Linked DNA regions of Ovis aries. The protein of the gene in region 5 interacts with the protein of the main gene of each other region in a pairwise test. Links are inferred from orthologs where the notes say so. Each region holds a gene or a part of one and is shown on either strand. Other genes may lie near its edges.

Region 1 (3,500 bases), on a different chromosome or scaffold from region 5:
CTGCAACTACAGTGAAGTGAAGGCAGAAAGAGAAAGACAAATACCATGCGATATCACTTACATGTGGAATTCAAAATTTGACACAAATGAACCTGTGGAACAGAACCATGGATACAGAGGATACACTGGTCGTCGCCAAGGGAGAGGGGACCGGTGGAGGGATGAGGGAGGGGTTAGCAGATGTAAGCTTTTATATACAGAATGGATGAACAAGGTCCTATTATATAGCACAGAGAACTATGCTCAGTATTCTATAATAAATGAAAATGGAAAATATTTACATTTTTTAATATTTTATGTATAAATGAATCACTTCACTATTCAGCAGAAATTAACACAACACTGCAAATCTACTATACTTCCATTTTTAAAATCTTGATTAAAAAAATAAACATGTTACTTGTTAAAACTATTACAAAAGAAAAAAGTATCTAGTTTCCAGCCTTATAAAATTCAAGGGACCAAACCATGAACTTTGGTAAACAAGGAATGATAAAAATCATAAGTCTTGGTTAGAAAAAGGAGCTAAAAAGCTGGCAGAAGTTTTAAAGTTATGGAATTTCCTTGCAATAACAGAATCTAAAATGTTATTGAAAGACAGAAAACAGAATTACAACACCAAGGGAAAAAATAGCCTTGATATAAAAAACAAATTTGAGACGATTTCCCAGAATGAAAAAGAAATCATTACACAGATGAGGCACTAAGATGAAGAAAAATTTAGACATTCCTATAACTACAACATAGAGAATTCAATTCTAAACATCAAATCCCTAATACTTTCAATATTCTATCATACTGTCATATTTATATGTCATATACATATATAGTCAAGGAATTTTGTCAGCAAATCCAATATATGCAGATATAAATTTACACAAAACTAAGTTTATTAGTTTTACAAAAAATATCACCTTTAGGAAATGAGTCCATTAATCAAATATGCTAAGACACAGACTATATCAATCAACTCAAAATTCCAACTCAATACTTCTAGCTCACTGCACAAAGTTTTCCCATAGCATCTTTATAATGAAATAGGATAGGCAGTAGCAGATTTAATGAAGTTTATCAGCAGAGAAGCTTATCAAGACTGCAATGATAAAACACAGCACGTGAAGCCAGAGAGCTGGCTTTAAATTATTATCGTCTTAGCAAATTATTACTAATTAAAACTCCTGAATCCTACTTTCCTTACCTGCTATCTGACTTTTGAAAATTCAGTGAGCCACTGTTTGCAGAAATGCCCAATGCTAACACTCAGTAAATGCTGCTTGGGATGATCAAGCAGATCAATGAACAAGTGATAATACAAGATTTTCTCATTTTCTAATGCCCTTCCAAAGAAAACTGCCTTTAATTTGATATTTATAGTATCTCAAATCATTTTTCTGGTACCTAAACTAACTGCAGATGCTAAAGCAGGTACTAGAAATGTTAAAAGGGTAGCATCAACCCTATTCAAGAAAATTATCACACTAACCCTCCCCAGGTAAGATATCACCTATAATTATACTGACAGTGCTGTATCTGTGATGCTCTAGAGTTTGTGTCTATGTTATCACTGAGGTTATCTTAAGCATATCTTAATATAGAGAACCATTCAAGGATTTCATGTTTACTTTTACACCGAAGTTCAATCTACTGCTGACTGTATCAGCTTTGACTACTAATTAATTTAAAAGGGCAGGACTTAGCAGGTTTCATAACTTAGGCTGGAAGTTCAACACCCTGCTTTTGTTAAGTAACTGCCGTGCAGCTACACATGTGACTACATTCTAGGCACGGTGGTGGTTGTCAAGGAAGTAGAAATGAACAAAGTCTAGGCTGTGGTCTCCCAAGGTCTCTTGGAACTCACAGTAATTAAGAGCAAGATGATATTAAGGTCCACCTGAAACTGTCACAACATTGTTCATCAGCTCTCCTCCATTATAAAATAAAAATTTCAAAAAACAAAATGAGAAGAAGGTAATGGAGCTAATTTGCTTAAGTATTAATGAGGGTCTCTGACAGGAAGAACTGGTTAATGTGCCTAGAAAACTGCAGCTTTCACGCCTGTACAATGCCTAGGACAGAGTATACCAGTACTGAAAAGGGTAGGTTTTAATACCTTAATATCTTCCAGGTATTCAATGTCTGCAGTGCAATATCCATCTTTCATTCCTCTTTTTAAAACCCTAAACCGCTTTCCTCCAACGGTATCAACCACAGACCGTCCATCAGGCAAGAAATGTACATTTCTAATTTGTAACATACAACCATAATCTGCAAAACTAGAAGAAAAACTCCAGTTAGTACCAAAAGTTCAAGCCACAGACATGCACGTTCTCAGCAATATTCACAGAAAACTCAAGAATCAATAAAAACATTTAGACAAAAAGCATACCTATTCTGTGCATCACTGACGCACATCCCAAACTGTTTAGTTCCAGTCTGTATACTTCTTCGAATCATCAATCTGTATCTTGGCTCAAATACATGAAGAGGGCAAGGCACAGTGGGATAGGCCATAGTGCAAACAAATATTGGAACATTCTTGGTCAAGCTGAAGAAGAAAAAAATTGCATTATTATATATCAGAAGATACAACAAAAATGAGTGAAACTTTCAATAAATAGTAGAAAACAAAAATGTACTCTAAAATCAGGTAATTTTCATTCTTGGCAGGAATAAGAATCAACATCCCCTTCATTTAAGCTCATGTTGATACAATATTAATCCTAAAACTGTCTGCAATCCTCTTACAAGTAAATTCAAATTTATAAAGTTGTCATATAGAGCTATGTACTTTTATGAATAAAAAAGCAATTGATTGTAACTATTTTATATTAAAAATGTTTAAAATATTTGTAACATGACAGTTATTATCTTCTATCCATAAAACACTCTTACTCTTAGACAACAATAAGTGAGCTCCTGCAAAGGACAAAAAACATTTTAAAAACTTTGTAGTCACTAAAATATTTCCTTACTAACAAAAGCAGGTAATTCAATGGCATACAATTTTTTCCAGATAATTAAAGTGAAACAGTTTCATTCCCAGATTGGCAGGAAATATGAAGGATAAAGGCAGTGCTCAGTTTCTCATTAATCTAAAGAAACCCTTTGGCAAGGGTATGGGGGAAAACTGGCAGTTGACGGGGGCAGTTTGAAATAGTACAACCATACTGAAGAAGAATTTGGCTACATACATCAAAAAAATGTTTTTAATATTCATATCCTTTGAATCAACAGGTGTGCTTTTTTCTACAAGTATTGTAAAAATGTTCAATGTGTATAGTAGCCAAAACTTAGAAGCAAAAAGAGCCAACCAGTAAAATAAATTATGATGTAACCATAAAATGAGATACTATATTTAGACTTTAGATTAATGAGAAAAGGTATTAAATAATAGTAAAATAATCCCATATTTGTTTATAATGTATTTATATTAAAATTAGGAAGGACATATGCCAAAATGCCAGTGGTGATTACCTTTGAGTTACAAATTATGACTGTAA
Region 2 (3,500 bases), on a different chromosome or scaffold from region 5:
GATGCCCTCTCATGCCTCCCACCGTAACGGCCAGCCAGCACCTCCTCTCACAGCACCACCATTAACCTGGGCCTTTTACTCTGGCCCTGGGGAAGATAATCTCAGACTAAACATCTGAGGTTTCCAGACAAAGATGCCAAGATCTCTGCAAATATCCCTTTCAGAGTCCATTCACTAAGTGCCTTATGATCAGCAAACACCTGCTAACTTAAGTCCTGGTAATCATAAGGTAATAGATGTTATCCTAAAAAACTGAGATTCTGGTTAAATAACCTGGCCAAAGTTATGCAGCAAGTAAACAACACAGTGGGCATCTGAAAAGAGATGAGCTCCAAAGCCCTGTTCTTTCTATCCCACGCTGCCTCCCCAAGTCCCTGCTAACGTGTATAACTGCTTACTGAATGTGGCCTTCTCTTGCCTTTATTTCTCAGGAGAGTGGGTGGGGTAGTGCAGGAATTGCAAAATCAGATCTCTTCAAGGGCCACCAGAGGATGTACGTGTGTGAAGAGGCAGAGGAAGGGCAACTGGGAGTGGTGGGGGCTGTGTGCCACACCCAAAGGCTTCCCAATTCAGATTTTTAAACAGGGTGGCCACCAATGTCACTTACTTGGCTCCAAATCCAGGACCTGCTGCTATGAGTTATAAGAACCATGGGCTAGTTACATAACAGTCTCAGTGTCACCATCTGTGAAATGGGTTATAAGACGCCTCCCTCACAGTGAGCTTTCTCACTCTCAACAGTCCTGTGCTTTCATACACTGAGCCCGTCCCTAACCACAGAGGAGGCGACCATGCCTTAAGCTCCCAGGCCTGCTGGGTGAGACCAGAAACCAAGATCATCAGCCCAAAGATGCTCACCCTGCCCACAACCCCTCGGCCTCGCACTGTCTCCAAGGTGCCGGACAGACTGAATATCCTCCAGTGTCGCTCCCGGAGCTGAACCACGTCACTGTCGAGGTTCTCCAAGCGGATGCAATAGCGCCACTGTGGGAGCAGGGGAGAGACTTCATGTCTGAGAAGGAACAGAGCCTGGGCTCGCCCCCCGGGGATTCTGAGAGCAAAGGGCAACAAAGGCCAGTACCTGCACTGCACGGGTCTCATCTCCCACCCCAGAGGTAAAGCCCCCACCTCCCAACCTGCCCCCACAGGCACGCCTCCTGAGCTCCCCTCCGCCCGAGATTAGACACTCACCCAGTAGACGTGGGAATTCTGGGCTTCCTAGGGAAAAACAAACACAAAGAATTTCAGTCCCCAAGGGTAGAAATTCCAATCAACATCTCTCCAGTGGAGCAGATGTATTCCAGGACGGATGCAAAGACAGAACAAAACCACAAGTATCTTGATGACGTGCTAACTATGGCCAACATGCCCAGAGGGAGGCAGGCTCCCTGGGCCCTTCTCTGGCCTCCTTCCTCCTCATCCTATCAAGATCACAGAGCTGGATGAGAACAGAAAACAGAGGAGAGGGCCCTTCCCTCTCACCACTCTCCCCATCAGACGCTGCCCCTTCACCCACCACTGCTGCCCAGGCTGCTGTCTTCTCCTCTGCCTTCCCACATCCCAGCAAGATAACAACACTTGGAAAGCTGTAGGCTGGCCTCCCCCACTATCGTGAGCTCCTGAAAGGCAGGTACAGTCTTTCAGTTTTGTCTCCCTAAGACCCAGGTTACAGCCAAGCAAGAAAGAGCTCAATAAATTTATAAAATGTGGGAAGAGGAACCTATGGTGATTTAAATAAGTATGTGTATGTTCTTCATAATCATGGCTCCCTTTGAGCCAGAAGAGGAGAGAGTCAACCTGGAGGCCTCCTTCCTGGGATCTGAGAGTTTCTTTGCTCTAGGTCTTGGTGTCAGCTCTTGCCAAGAGGGTGCTCGACCCCAACCAATACATGCAGCACTGGAAACCAGAACCTCAGGCACATGGTTTAAACGTGGGGACACCACACAGAACCTGGGGGCCCGGCCCTGAGGGAAGGTATCAAGGCTCGGCACCTACCCTCATGCCCATGTAGAAGGGGATAACAGTGACACGGATATTCTCCGTTGTTTCCCGGTGGACATCAGAGAGCTCCAGCCAGGGGTGATTCTTCTCCTGCCAGGCCCGTAGTGTCTCCCGAGCCACAAAAGGGGGTGCTGGGGCAAGAAATGACTGGTTAGACCAGGCCAGCGGCCAACTGTTCCTCTTATAAAATCCTTCCCAGTGATGGTCAAGGTATATAAGACACGTGAGCAAAAGCAGCACAGGCTGGAAGAAGGCACAGGGCTGCCTACCAAGAATAAGCCCCAAGGAGGAATATGACGTCAGGGGAAGAGAAGTGGCCTGGGAGTTAGGAGCCCTGGCTCTCAGATCTCACTCTGCCACTACCTAGCAACCTTGAGTTGCTCTCATCATCCCTGAGCCATCTACCTGACAGGTCTAAAGGGAGGTTAAATCAAGTTGTAGAAACAGCTCTGAAACTGCTTCTGTGACACTGTCTTTGAAGAAAGGGCCCTCCCATTCCAGCTTCCCTTTATGACAGAGGGTACCTTTTGTCTGGTCATACAGAAGAAATCTTTCAAAGAGCTCATGCTGGATAGGAACCTGATCAGTGGAGGTGTAGGGGAGGATGTCTTCATGGCTGACATAATCCAGGCCTGGCAGAGAGAGAGAGACAGAAAACTCATGGAGGAATGGGGAAGAGTGGGGCTGAAAAGAAACTCAATTTCTGGGCCTTGTCCCAGGGTGGGACAACCCTCGCACCAAGGCTCTCAGCATCTACACACCCTCCAAAGCAGATTCAAGGACAGCAGAAAGGCACTGGAATTCTCTTCCTGAGACACACCAGACCCCTCACCGATGGGCACCACTCAGACGGTCATAACTCACCTGGGATGGCATAGAGGGCCCGGCTGTCGTCGTGATTAGCCAAGAAAGTCACAGCTTCTGTCTGAGATCTCTGAGACTAAGGCAAGAAGCAAGTCATAGGTTTGCTCGGTCACTATCCAGTCCTGAGGACTTGGGGCCCAGTGCAGTATGGAACTGTTGGATCCCTCTCCTTCTCTTAGTCCCCATCAGGATCTTAGTCCCATCAGGCCTTCCCTATGGAAAAGAACCCCAGGCACAGCCACCTTGCTTACTTACTATATGTGGACAGTCTCGGGCATCAATCAGCACCTGGTAGTAAGTGTGAGTTTTGCCTTTCACCTCCTTCGAGCCATGGCCGGCAGGGTTCTCTGCTCTATGAGGCAGGAGGAAAAGCCGAAGATCAACCTGAGAAACAGAAGCGGGGCCTGCCCCAGCTCCCTACCACCCCCTCACCAAACAGACCAGTGCCTGAACTGAAGGGGCTTAGCAGCAGCTGGGCAGATGTTCAGCATGCCCTGGCCCGACGCTCCCCAGTCAGGAGCAAGCAATAGAGTGTGGTGAAGAGTCATCGTTTATCTTACTTTCTGGATGCCTCTTTAAAAAAGGGTCCAAGCTGAGAAAATCATACTGCTGCTTCAGTCCCTGGAGCCCAGAGC
Region 3 (3,500 bases), on a different chromosome or scaffold from region 5:
CCCAGGTGCCCCAACTAGTGAGCCCGTGTTCCTCAACTAGAGAGTCTGAGTGCCACAAGCCACAGAGCGTATGCGCTCTGGAGCCTGCACACAACTGCAGAGCCCACGCACTTTGGGGCCCAAGTGCCACAGCTAGAGGGAAGCGCACAGGCTGCAAGAGAGAGCCCAATGGCACAGTCACGACCAACACAGTCAAAACAGTAGTAGTAAATAAATGCAAGAAAATAAAGTTAAAAGTAAGTACCTCACTGGAAGAAGAGCAACTGGAGGACTAAATAATTATAGGAATTAATGAAATATTGTTGAAAGGGAAACTTAATAATAGTTCTTACATATTCATTACAGAGAGAAGTGGAGAATGGACCAGTATTTTAAAATTTCTGTTCTTGAGGAACTGTGAATCGGTACCAAACTTACCTTCATTTTTGCTTGTTCAATAAATCCAAAACATTCTGGAAAATAAGACAGGATATTGGTCTCAGGCAGATCCAATATAGAAATATTCTTATATATAAAGTCATTGAGGAAAGCGTTTTCAACTCCATATGCAACATTGAGAATATGAGTCACCTTAAAGACAAAAAAAAGATAAATTTTTAAAAATTCACATGAATTAGGTTAATTAAACCTAAAAAATTATGTTTAAATAAAATTAAACCTAATTAGGTTACTTAGGTTAATTAATTAGGTTAATTAAATTGAGGTGTTGAGATCTGTAACAATACATAATTTAAGCATGACTCACTCACTTGGGCTTCCCAGGTGGCTCAGTGGTAAAGAATCTGCCTGCAATGAAGGAAATGCCAGAGACATAGGTTCGATCCCTGGGTCGGGTAGATCCCCTCGAGGAGGAAATGGCAACCCATTCCAATATTCCTGCCTGGAAAATTCCATGGACAAAGGAGTCTGCTGGGCAACAGTCCAAAGACTCACACAAAAGTCAGACACGACTGAACACACGCACACTTGAATAACACGTCCTTCAGGGAGCCTTCTCTGCCGGCCTCCTCCCTTACCAGAAGTGCTATTTCTACACACATATTTGTTGTTATTGTTGTTTAGTCGCCATGCCATGTCTGACTCTTTTGTGACCCCTATGGACGGTAGCCCACCAGGCTCCTCTGTTCATGGGATGTCCCAGACAAGAAGACTGGAGTGGGTTGCCATTTCCGTCTCTAGGGAATCTTTCCAACCCAGGGATCAAACCCACATCTGCTTGGCAGGTTCTTTAACACTGAGCCTCCAGGGAAGCCTGTATACTCCTATAGTACCCTCTATGTGCCTTACAATAGCCCTTATCACCTAGAGTTCGTCTCCCATATTGTACTGGAAACTCCACCAGGGTAGGGACCATATTTAGCCTACTCACTTTTATAAGTAAGCATTGTGAGTGAGCAGGAAACCTCACACAGAAGTACTTAAAATATCTATTGAATAAATCAATTAATGTCCATAAAAAAATTAAAGTAAGGGACGTGCATTAGTAGCAATAACTTCCCTTTCAATAATTATTTCCCTACTTTCCTTTTGTATTCTTTGTAAGTACAGTTGTTCTCAAGTGTGGCTACACACCAGAACTACCCAGTGAGCTTTTTAAAAGTTCAATAGGTACACCCTGAATTTTGGATTCTCTGCTGCTTCTGAACTTGGACGGCAAGTCACACCATAGGGCGCTGGGTTTGGTTTCAAGGTGACTGGTCACCCAGTGAGGTTTTAAAAAGCACCAATGCCACAGGGTCTCAATCCCAGAAATTCTGATGAATTAGTCTGGTTGAAAGGTGAGATGGTCGTGAAAGATTTGCTTTCAAATGGCACATGTGAGCAACCTCCTCCTCCATCTACGCATTCAAGCTCCTTTCCTGGAGTCCACCAAGCAAATGCAAGAAGCCATGTGAGAAGTTCGTTAAGAGAATCCAAAGGCTAAATGGATCGGATTCTGCCTCTCCCGCCCCTACTATCCTCACAGGTGTGGCTCTGGCAGTGCCTCGCTCCTTCCCCCAACACAGCTAACTGGATTCCGGTGGACACCTGACTTAAGCTAGATTGATTTAAGAAATTTAGAAAGAGGTGTACGAGACAGTTAGAATAATCCACAAACTCAGGAGCTTTAAGACAGCCATTCTGTATTAAGTGAAAGATCCCTGCTTCCAAATGAGAAGAGCAGATGTGCAGAGAGGGGCCGTGTGCCAGGGGATGGCCTTCTATTCTCTGGCACAGCTACTCTCCTCCCGGCTTCCAACAAGCTCCCCCTGCCCTCATCTCCCCGCCCTGAGATCATCATATGCATTCTCTCTCCTTGCTCAGGTTTCTGTGGTCCACAGCCAAAGGAGTATTGATTAAGATATTCAGGGAACTAGACCTCATGAAGAGAGGGCCATAAGCTGCTTACAAACCTAACTGCCTTGTGGAGGAAAACAACAGAAAAAAACCCTCTAATCTGCTCAAGAGAGATGGGAGAATTCTAGACAGAAGGGAAGAACATTTTTAGCAGATACTGTCTGAAATGTCCTTCTGCTTTCCTTGTGATGGCCTCTCAGGCTGTGTCAAGTTACCCTCCCACTCCAAGAGAACCTCTGGCCAGGGCTGTATGACTCTGCCTTTAATTACATAATAGATATTCCAATGTCGTATGATACTGATGTGTTTGCCCTGTCTTTAGAACTATATTTTACATCCCCCAAAGACCAAAAATGAGGTCTGACCACTTATAGAATATATCTGTATCTATACAGCTTTCCTATCTATCACAGAATTATGAAGATCACAAAATGAGAATCTTGAGGAAACTTGCTGAAAGGTAAAAGTGCTTTACAAATATCGTGGGCTATTAAACTATCCAATGTCTAGGTAATTTCAATTCAGTTCAGTTCAGTTCAGTTGCTCAGTCGTGTCCGACTCTTTGCAACCCCATGAATTGCAGCACACCAGGCCTCCCTGTTCATCACCAACTCCCGGAGTTCACTCAAACTCACGTCTATCGAGTTGGTGATGCCATCCAGCCATCTCATCCTCTGTCGTCCCCTGCTCCTCCTGCCCCCAATCCCTCCCAGCATCAGAGTCTTTTCCAATGAGTCAACTCTTCACATGAGGTGTCCAAAGTATTGGAGTTTCAGCTTTAGCATCAGTCCTTCCAAAGAACCCCCAGAACTGATCTTTAGAATGGACTGGTTGGATCTCCTTGCGGTCCAAGGGACTCTCAAGAGTCTTCTCCAACACCACAGTTCAAAAGCATCAATTCTTTGGTGCTCAGCTTTCTTCACAGTCCAACTCTCACATCCATGCATGACCACTGGAAAAACCATAGTCTTGACTAGACGGACCTTTTTGGCAAAGTAATGTCTCTGCTTTTCAATATGCTATCTAGGTTGGTCATAACTTTCCTTCCAAGGAGTAAGGGTCTTTTAATTTCATGGCTGCAATCACCATCTGCAGTGATTTTGGAGCCCAAAAAAATAAAGTCTGACACTGTTCCACTGTTCCCCCATCTATTTGCCATGATG
Region 4 (3,989 bases), on a different chromosome or scaffold from region 5:
TCTTAAGAGCATGAAATCTAATAAGTGAAAATGTCATTTGGGCACACAAATGCAAACAATGACAAAAAGCAAGAGGTAAGGAAAGTACTATTCAAACTTTATTACTACAGACTTCTTAGAATTTGGTCCAAATTAGCTTCTGGGCTTTGTTAATAGAGAAACCTAATCAGTTAGGAAGGATCCATAAGAGAAACAAACTGATTAAAAGAAGCATACTAGTCACTTAGGCTAAACTTACAAGAAACTTATCATGTCTTCTAAGTAAGATTCTGCTGAGAAAACACCCTTACCAACATTCTTTAACACTACAATTAACTTCAGAGATATGATTCTTATGACTTCTCTCAAATTAAACTAGTGATGTAAAACCAAAACTAATTCTACCTGTGATAAAACAGTCATCCAGGAGTGCAAGCCCTTTCATGCAAATACATACTACTACTTGCTCAACAAATGTTAGTGTCCAATCCCACTGTCCTATTACATTCTCCCCATCTAGAAATATCAACGTATTGTTTAAATTCATCTGAATATGGCCCAATATAATCAGTCCCAATTATTTTTCTAGGCTGTATTTCCACTTTTTCCCTAAATCAATATACTTCAAACCACATATCACTTATCAATCACTGTATTATGAAGTAGATAATACATGAGTAACAAGCTGTATCTCTTCGTGATATCGTGATATATTAAAAAAAAAAACAACAGGATGCACTGCATTCAGTAAGGGTAAATATTAATGTCATGCATATGTGTGCATTTCCCTAAACACAGAGAATAACACTCAATCAAAATACATGTACTGGTGTGATTCACTGCTGCAAAAGTTTGAAATCTACTGTTGTAAGCACTCTTTTCTTACTACTGGCTTCACTCAGCTATCAAAACATTTCCTTTCCAGCTCTCAGGTCTTTAAGCATGCCATTCCCTCAGCTGGAAAGACCTAGCCCACTACTTCGCCCTCAGAATTCCTATCCACTCCTTAACATTTGTTCATTCATTTATTCAAGAAAAACCTAGCATGTCCATAGGCCAAACACACTTCTATGAAAACTTTCCAAGTTAGAAGTGATTGCTCTCTTTAGGAACTGGAATTCGATTCTTATCAAGTTATGTGTCATCTCTTCCACTCTGATTGAGATAACCTCCTTTGAGGCACCGACCTAGGTTTTCAAAATATTTTCCAGTTCTGGGACTGAACAGCCTTACACTGTGAATACTCAACCATTTTTTAAAGAAAAACCAATCAGTTAAAAATCCAATCAGCGCTGAGCTCCTACACAATGTGTGGGGCAGAGGACTCCTAACCTCTTCCAGCTTGTTACTCCCCAAATCAAATAGACTTTTCATCACATAAGCTGTTAATTTGTTTTTAAAATGTAAATCTGCCTGTGCAAGTTCCTTTTGAAAGGAAAAAAAAAAAAAAAAACCAGAAAACTCAGAATGATTTTACCCATCTGCACAAAGCTAATTAAACCATAAGCAGCCCAAGATGCCAAAAAAATTAAATAAATAAAACCCAAGGAACTAAACTTCCCCTAGCTTTTCATCAACTCTTCCTAAAGCCCACTGCTCCCATTCAATCAAGCAAAATAAGTATGAAAGTTTTCGTCTAGGGCTCTAGCTATCCAAATGAAACGCCACTGAGAGAGGAAGGGTTCACTCAAAAAGCCCCTCATGATGATCAGACCTATTTTTCTTTTGAAATACATATGCATATATCTATTCTTTTTCAGATACTTTTCCCGTGTAGGTTTCAGATCTCCCTTCGGGTGTCTTCCTTAAGGACTTACACTCGGGCAACCCTCACTGGGATCAACATTCCCAGACACACACTCTTCACACACATTTCCCACACAATCGCACACTCTATTCGTTCCCCACTTAGAATGGCAAAGTTGACTTCATTTCAGCAGGAACTTTCTCCCTGAGGGAGACCCCTGCCTTCACCTCCAACAGATTCCGACGACTTGTCCCAGGTCGCCGAAATCTTACCCGTCCTAACCTGACGGAGTGGGTTCCCTTCTCTCTCTGCTTGAGGGAATCGCGAAAGGAGACGGAACCGACCAGGAGCTGCAAAGGGCCAGCAGAGACCATCGCAGAAGAGCCTCCGAGAGAGATTTTAAAAAACAACAACTAAAGGACAAAAAGAGCCGCCCGAGGACCCGGCGGGGCGCTCCTTTATATGCACCTATGCACCCGGCCGGCTCTCCACACACAGGGGCAGAGACCTCCACACGGAGCCGCGGAGGAGGGACCCCTCCGAACGCCGCTCCTCCCGCGCCCTCCTCACAGACGAGCTGCAACTTCTGCTCCCGGGAAAACTTTTCCCCGGAGCACCCGTTTTCCTCAACCCGCAAGGGGAGCGGGGGGGAGGGGTTCGGGGAGAGAGAGAGGGGGACCCCGGGGCGCCCAGCCCTGCCCCCCGCCGCAACAGACTCACCCCCAAACCACATAGTTGGTCTTCACGTTCTTGGGCCAGGAGAACTCGCCGAAGATCACTTCGTCCCCTTTCACCACAATCTCCTTCTTCTGGATGTTGTACTGTCGCAGGACGCTGAGCACGTCCGCCATCTTCGCCCCCCTCGCCGCCGCCGGCCCCGGGCCCCGCCGCCGCCGCCGCGCCCGCCGCCCCTTTCGCCTGTCGCCTCAGCCCCCCCACCCCCCGCCCCTCTGCCTCGGCCGCCGCCGCCGCCGCCGCCGCCGCCGCGAGCCAACTGCAGTCGCACTGGCAGCCGTCCGCGCCTACGACAGCAGCGGGGGAAGGAGCCACCCAGGCCGCCGAGGACCCCGCGCTAGGAGGCAAGGCCCCGCCGCGGGCTGCCCGCGGAGAACGCCTGACCGCGCGCGCCGCCGCCGCCGCCGCCCGCCGCCAGGGGGCGCCGCGCCCGCCCGGGAAACGCCCCTCCCAGACTCCCACTTGGCGCGCGGGGCCGACTCCCGGCCCGCAACTCATAGGGCGCGGGGACGCAGCGCCCACGTACGGCGCACGTACGGGGGAGCCTTGCCCGGCGCACGCGCGGGAGCACGGACCTCATCCTCCTTTCCCCCGCCCCCGACTCGCCCCACCACGCGCAGCGCGCACGCGGCAGGCGACAGGTGCGCGCGCACCTGCGCGGGGAATCTGGGACGTCAGTTCCCAGAGCGCGCAATGGGTGCTCCTCGACGGGCCCGCAGTGTTGGCCGCTGGCCAGTGCAGTGTGGTCTCTCCTTTAACCAGGCTGCAGCCTGGTGAGAGGTTTGCAGAGCCAAGGTTGCCGTCCCGACGAGGTTGGACCCACCTAACAAATGGCCTCTTGATAAACCCCTGTAGAAGGGAAAGGTGTTTGGGGAAAGATGTTGCTTTGGGGGTTATTTTTTATTTTGTGTTTTTAGTGGGCTCGCCTAGGCCAAAGATCAATGCCGGGGCACTGGTGTTTGTTAGCTGCCTTTTGACCTCAGTCAAGTTACACACCTTCTCACAGAATCAATTGGTTAATGGAGAACATGGAAGCTAAAAGCATCAGGCAAATCAAAAAATCATAAATATTGGATCTTCCCCTTCTCAGTTCCTTAGATGGTGGCTTTTTCCTTCTTGTCCCCTTCTCCTGGCCAGCCTCAAGGGGCTACAGTTTAATAGCTGTCTTCCGAGATGCTAATAGGAGAGTTAGAGAACACAAGCTCAGTTTATTGATATAAATTCAGTTTACTGTGGCATGTCTACCTTAAACATATCCCATGGGCCATTTTTTAAAAATGTCTTACTATAGCAGAAAAGGAAAAAAGTCGACTTTGTGATTGACATAACCAAATTCTTTTACCCGATTTGAAAGAAAGCAATTTTCGTTATGTGCACTGCAGAGAGATCTGTAGAATGTGGTTCACTTTTCTGTATTCACTCTTCAGCCATTTTGCAGCTGAATTTGAGAAATTTTGACTATTCTGTAAATTTTCCTAAACTTCACCCCAAACATGTTAAAAATAACCTTTTTATTTATCCCCAGTAC
Region 5 (2,255 bases):
TCAAAGATTGCATGTATACAATGGAATATTACTCAGCCAGAAAAAGGAACAAATCAGAGTCTTTTGTAGTGATGTGGATGGACTTAAGAGTCTGTCATACAGAGTGAAGTAACTCAAAAAGAGAAAAACAAAGATTGTATATGAGCACATGTATGTGGAATCTAGAAAAATGGTACAGGTGAGTCTATTTGCAGGGCAGGAGCAGAGATGCAGACGTGGAGAACGGGCATGTGGCCACCACTGGGGAGGGGCTGCTGCTGCTGCTGAGTCGCTTCAGTCATGTCCAACTCCGTGGAGGGTAGGACGAATTGGGAGATTGGGCTTGACATATTACTACCATGTGTAGAACAGATGGCAAGTGGGAAGCTGTGGGATAACGCAGGGAGCTCAGCTCCGTGCTCTGTGATGACCTAGAGAGGTGGGACGGGGCAGCGGGAGGCAGACCGAGTTTAAAGGGATGAATGACTTTTTGATTCAGTAGCCAATAAAAAGAGGAACCCTAATTTAGACAAGAATTTATTTTCTGGACTACATGTTTACCATAGATTAAAATTAATATAATTTAATTCACATACAAAGACAACTGTGGAGGGACTACCTGGATACAGTGTGACTTGGGGTAGGTGGAGTAACTTAGGGCACAGCACATTCAGGCCTGAGCAGATACCAGCTTGCTCATACCGGAGAAGTAGGATTTCTCTCTTTCGCTCATCATTTCAAAATGCAGTGGCCTCCTGCAGAAGTTGCACTCGGCTGAGGAATGTGGCTTGAGTTCCAGCCCAACTCGCTTCCATGTGGCCAGCAGATGATCTGTGAGGAGCAAGTTTTTTTAAATTAGAGGAAGTACATACCCAGGACAAATGGACAATGATAACTTTTACACAAGTGTTCACAGCAGCATTCTTTTTTTTTTTCATAATAGTCAGAAAGTAGAAACAATCCAAACATCCACCAATTGATGGATAAACAAAACATGGTATATCTGTACTGAGGAGAATTATTTGGTAGGAACGAAGTGCTGATTCAAGCTACAACGTAGATGAAACCTTGAACACACTGTGCTGTGAAATAAGCCAGGCACAAAGGGCCATATACTGTACAACTCCATTTCCATAAAATGTTATGTACAGGCAAGTCCACGGACAGAAAGTGGATCAGGGCTGGGATGTGGCTGCTAAGCGGTGTAAAGTTTCTCTCTGAGGTGATAAAAACGTTCTGGCATCAGAATGCTGACGGTTGCACAACATTACTTCAAAGCCACTGAATTATGTGTTTTGAAAGGTTAGAATTTGTTTTATCTGAATTCTATCTTAATAGGCTGTTACTTAAAAAGTAGAGAAAACCCAGGTCTGGCTTTACTTTACACCCTTCAGAGAAGAAGTCGCTCCCACATGGCTGCACTGTGTGGAATGGATCATTCCTTGCAGGGGAGCCCGAAAGGCTGGAGGCAGGGAACCACCGTGGGTGGCGGTGGAGGCTCAGGAGGGCAACACACCTCCGAGGCAGAGGCAGCTATGAGTTTAGTCTCTGCCTTCAGCTGGACGCAGGCGGAAAGGCCTGCGTTATACAGAACTATGAGAATATGAAATGCTGAACAGAAGGGGTTAGGTGTGTAGTCGGTTTTCAGAGAAGAGAGAAGTGCAGAGCTGAGCTCTGGAGGCCCGGGCAGGCTTAGGCTGTCAGAGGCATCTCTCCTGCAGCAGCCACCACTGGGGGTCCCTGAGCCACACAGACAGAGGCATGGATGGGAACAGTGAGCGGACAGCAGGCTCCCTCGGTGCTTCCCGTGAAGTGGAGCGAACGACTAACTGTCTTTCACACTTCTGTACCACCTGAGAATATTCTTAATTACTTGGAAAAAGAAGAGACAAATCTGAATGGCTTGAATTATAAATGCTGCAGACAGCTTCACGCCACTCTCCCGCGGGGCTCTGGCGGCTCCCTGGCTACTCACCCACGAAGTAGCTCATCATCTGCGGTGTGTGGTGCGGCGTGGGGGCGATGCGCAGCAGCTCCTCGCCCCGGGGCACTGTGGGGTAATTGATCGCTTGGACATAGATATTATGTCTAGTCATTAGTTCATCACAGACCTCCGTGTTTTTAGCAGCATCTGCCACCTAAGATTGATAATAACAGAAGATAAGGCTGGAACCAGACAGCAGAGACTAGTCACACGCGTGTCCAAGTGGCTTGGGCTCGACCTGCATATGCAAGCCTGGCAGAGAGGCTGCCCCGACACCTGCAGTTTAAAGGGT
Region 6 (2,384 bases), on a different chromosome or scaffold from region 5:
GAATCTAAAAAGAAATGATACAAATGAACTTACTTATGCAACAGGAAGAGACTCACAGACTTAGAAAAGGAACTCATGGTTGCCAGGGGGAAGGGATAGTTAAAGAATTTTGAAAGGCCATGTACACACTGCTATATTTTAAATGGATAAGCAACAAAAACCTATTGTATAGCACATAGAATTCTGCTCAATGTTATGTGCCAGCCTGGATGGGAAGGTGGTTTGGGGGAGAATGGATACATGAATATGTACAGCTGAGTCCCTTCACTGTTCACCTGAAACTATCACAACCATTGTTAATCGGCTATACCCCAATACAAAATGTTTTTGGTGTTAAGAAAAATGAATAAATAAATAAATATTTCCTTACTGGAAAGGAAAACAAAACAAAAAACTTTACAGTGTGATCTCCTCAGAGGTGAAAATTGTTTATTTCCCCTCTCACTCCCAAAATAAAATAATATTCAGGTTGGAAATAATTATTTACAAAAAACAATATATAGAAATTAAAACACTTTAATATAATATAAACATTTACAGAATATAGACTGATTTTTTATCAGTACTTCTTGAGAGAACTCTTTAAAACTATATATCATCTACATTTATTATAGACTGTTTCATTTCCCACTTTCAGAACTAGAAAATACAAAAATACACTGCAAATTATATTTAACAAATGAACAAAAAATCAATCTAAATTGCTTCACGTATTTTCCTTGGAGAAAACCAAGAAACATAAACATAATAGCAATTAAAAATACCACCAACACTAACACAACCCAAACAGAGGATGGATTCTGATGCCTGCTGATTTTCTCATTTAAAATTAATTTTCTCCCATAGGTAAATAATTCACTATCAGAGCAACTGGATGATCAGGAGCAGAGATAGTCTCATCAAGATAAATTACTTTATACGCAGGAAATATGTAATTTTTCTTTCATGTTAAGAAATGAGGAAAAATAACTTGAGGAAAAGGCATATTGAATACTCTTACTTCACTTGGCTTTTGTTAACGGTTAAAGTAACTGTTCACTTAGGGAAATTCAAATAACATGAATTTCATGAAACCAAACTCTTCAACTTATTTCATCAATTCAACCTTAAAGAACACAACTGAAAAGTTCAAAATCCAGGAGAAGACTCGTCCTAAAGCACTGACATGTTTATCTTTTAACTGGCTTCCTTTTCTCTTATGTTCTGACTGTGTTCTTTTGTTCTTCTCTCTCAGAGGTGAGGTTTAGGCTTGTTTGTCTCTTCTTTCAAGTCAATTTCAATTTTTACACACAAAAAACTAAGCTTTCTTGAACTGACACTGACTGTACTCACCTCTCTTTTTCTTCATTGGATGTTTCTGTCTTTGTCTAAATTCCCCCATTCTATTTCTCTTGGGGTAAACAAGGCTAAAAGTTTAAAATCCAAGAATAGACTCATCCCAAAGCATTTCCTCTTCCGTCTTTTCTTCAACAGATTTTTTTTTCTCTTTCTTGTGCTTACGTTCTTCCTTCTCAGAGGGTACACCACGGCTTTTTTTCTTTTTTCGATGCTTAAGCCTTCCTGAACTGACTCTGAATTTATCTCCATCTCTTTTCCTTTCCCCAGTGCCCTTGTGCTTGTCTAGGTCTGTATCCGCATAACTCTTTTTTCTTTTATGCTTGGACTGCTCCTTCTCTGGCCTTTCTTCACCTTTCTCCATGTGCCTTCTTTTCTTCTGATGTTTCCGCTTATGACCTACTTGATGCTCACTGGTATCGTTTTCTGAGGAGAGGTGCTTATAAACTTCAGATTCTACACTGTATGTGCCAGAGTTATTATCCTGCTGACTAAGGCTCAGGGGTACTGGTTTTTCTGGGAAACAGTCTCTGGTGGGTTGACAGTAGGTCACAGAGTCTAATCTCTGTTTGCTGTCATGAGTTGGTAAAGGATGAGGTAACTGGTTTTCTTCTGCCTGTGAAATACTATATGATCCTGGGTAAGCCTGGAAATGGAAAGTCTCAAATGGGAGTTTTTGCTCAAACATTCTAGGTCTGGGTCTGGAATCAACCATTTCTCTGTGCTTATGGGTTTCTACAGAGCTATCACTTATCTTTCTGAAAGAAGTCTTTGGCTCTAGTCCTCTGGCTTTCTGCACTTTGATATAATCCTCAAGTTCATCTTGGAAAGAGTTATATGTCCTCTTCGAAGGAGCTGGTAACCAGTGATATACTTGGCTTTCCACTGGTGAAATAGTGTATGGTCGTTGGTAGGTCTGAGAAGTCTCAAATGAATATCTTCGTTCACACATTCTTGGTCTGGGTCCAGAATAAATTTCTCTGTACCCATGGGTTTCCACAGAGCTCTCTCTTTCCTTTCTGAAACAAGTCTTTGGATCTAGTCCTCTG

What was found.
Region 1: the proteins of ALAS1 (region 5) and LONRF1 interact in binary tests that used the Homo sapiens proteins (3 or more experiments, as listed by UniProt). The two-hybrid records come from large-scale screens. The link is inferred for Ovis aries from reciprocal best matches to the Homo sapiens genes ALAS1 and LONRF1.
Region 2: the proteins of ALAS1 (region 5) and POLDIP2 interact in binary tests that used the Homo sapiens proteins (3 or more experiments, as listed by UniProt). The two-hybrid records come from large-scale screens. The link is inferred for Ovis aries from reciprocal best matches to the Homo sapiens genes ALAS1 and POLDIP2.
Region 3: the proteins of ALAS1 (region 5) and DUSP19 interact in a two-hybrid assay, tested with the Homo sapiens proteins (3 studies listed by BioGRID and IntAct). The two-hybrid records come from large-scale screens. The link is inferred for Ovis aries from reciprocal best matches to the Homo sapiens genes ALAS1 and DUSP19.
Region 4: the proteins of ALAS1 (region 5) and CDC73 interact in a two-hybrid assay, tested with the Homo sapiens proteins (3 studies listed by BioGRID and IntAct). The two-hybrid records come from large-scale screens. The link is inferred for Ovis aries from reciprocal best matches to the Homo sapiens genes ALAS1 and CDC73.
Region 6: the proteins of ALAS1 (region 5) and ZMAT1 interact in a two-hybrid assay, tested with the Homo sapiens proteins (2 studies listed by BioGRID). The two-hybrid records come from large-scale screens. The link is inferred for Ovis aries from reciprocal best matches to the Homo sapiens genes ALAS1 and ZMAT1.

The regions. Positions count from the first base shown.
Region 1 is NC_056079.1:23,431,124-23,434,623, reverse strand, and holds part of LONRF1 (LON peptidase N-terminal domain and RING finger protein 1), read right to left. Parts: intron 2,546-3,500; coding exon 2,387-2,545; intron 2,274-2,386; coding exon 2,111-2,273; intron 1-2,110.
Region 2 is NC_056064.1:19,778,719-19,782,218, forward strand, and holds part of POLDIP2 (polymerase delta-interacting protein 2), read right to left. Parts: intron 3,218-3,500; coding exon 3,121-3,217; intron 2,942-3,120; coding exon 2,866-2,941; intron 2,634-2,865; coding exon 2,526-2,633; intron 2,133-2,525; coding exon 1,996-2,132; intron 1,219-1,995; coding exon 1,192-1,218; intron 985-1,191; coding exon 859-984; intron 1-858. UniProt on the Homo sapiens protein: Involved in DNA damage tolerance by regulating translesion synthesis (TLS) of templates carrying DNA damage lesions such as 8oxoG and abasic sites.
Region 3 is NC_056055.1:126,672,976-126,676,475, forward strand, and holds part of DUSP19 (dual specificity protein phosphatase 19), read right to left. Parts: intron 571-3,500; coding exon 418-570; intron 1-417.
Region 4 is NC_056065.1:11,318,998-11,322,986, forward strand, and holds the start of CDC73 (parafibromin), read right to left. Parts: upstream 2,801-3,989; 5' UTR 2,578-2,800; coding exon 2,447-2,577; intron 1-2,446.
Region 5 is NC_056072.1:48,760,344-48,762,598, forward strand, and holds the end of ALAS1 (5-aminolevulinate synthase, non-specific, mitochondrial), read right to left. Parts: intron 2,118-2,255; coding exon 1,955-2,117; intron 811-1,954; coding exon 650-810; 3' UTR 501-649; downstream 1-500.
Region 6 is NC_056080.1:133,489,718-133,492,101, forward strand, and holds the end of ZMAT1 (zinc finger matrin-type protein 1), read right to left. Parts: coding exon 1,415-2,384; 3' UTR 501-1,414; downstream 1-500.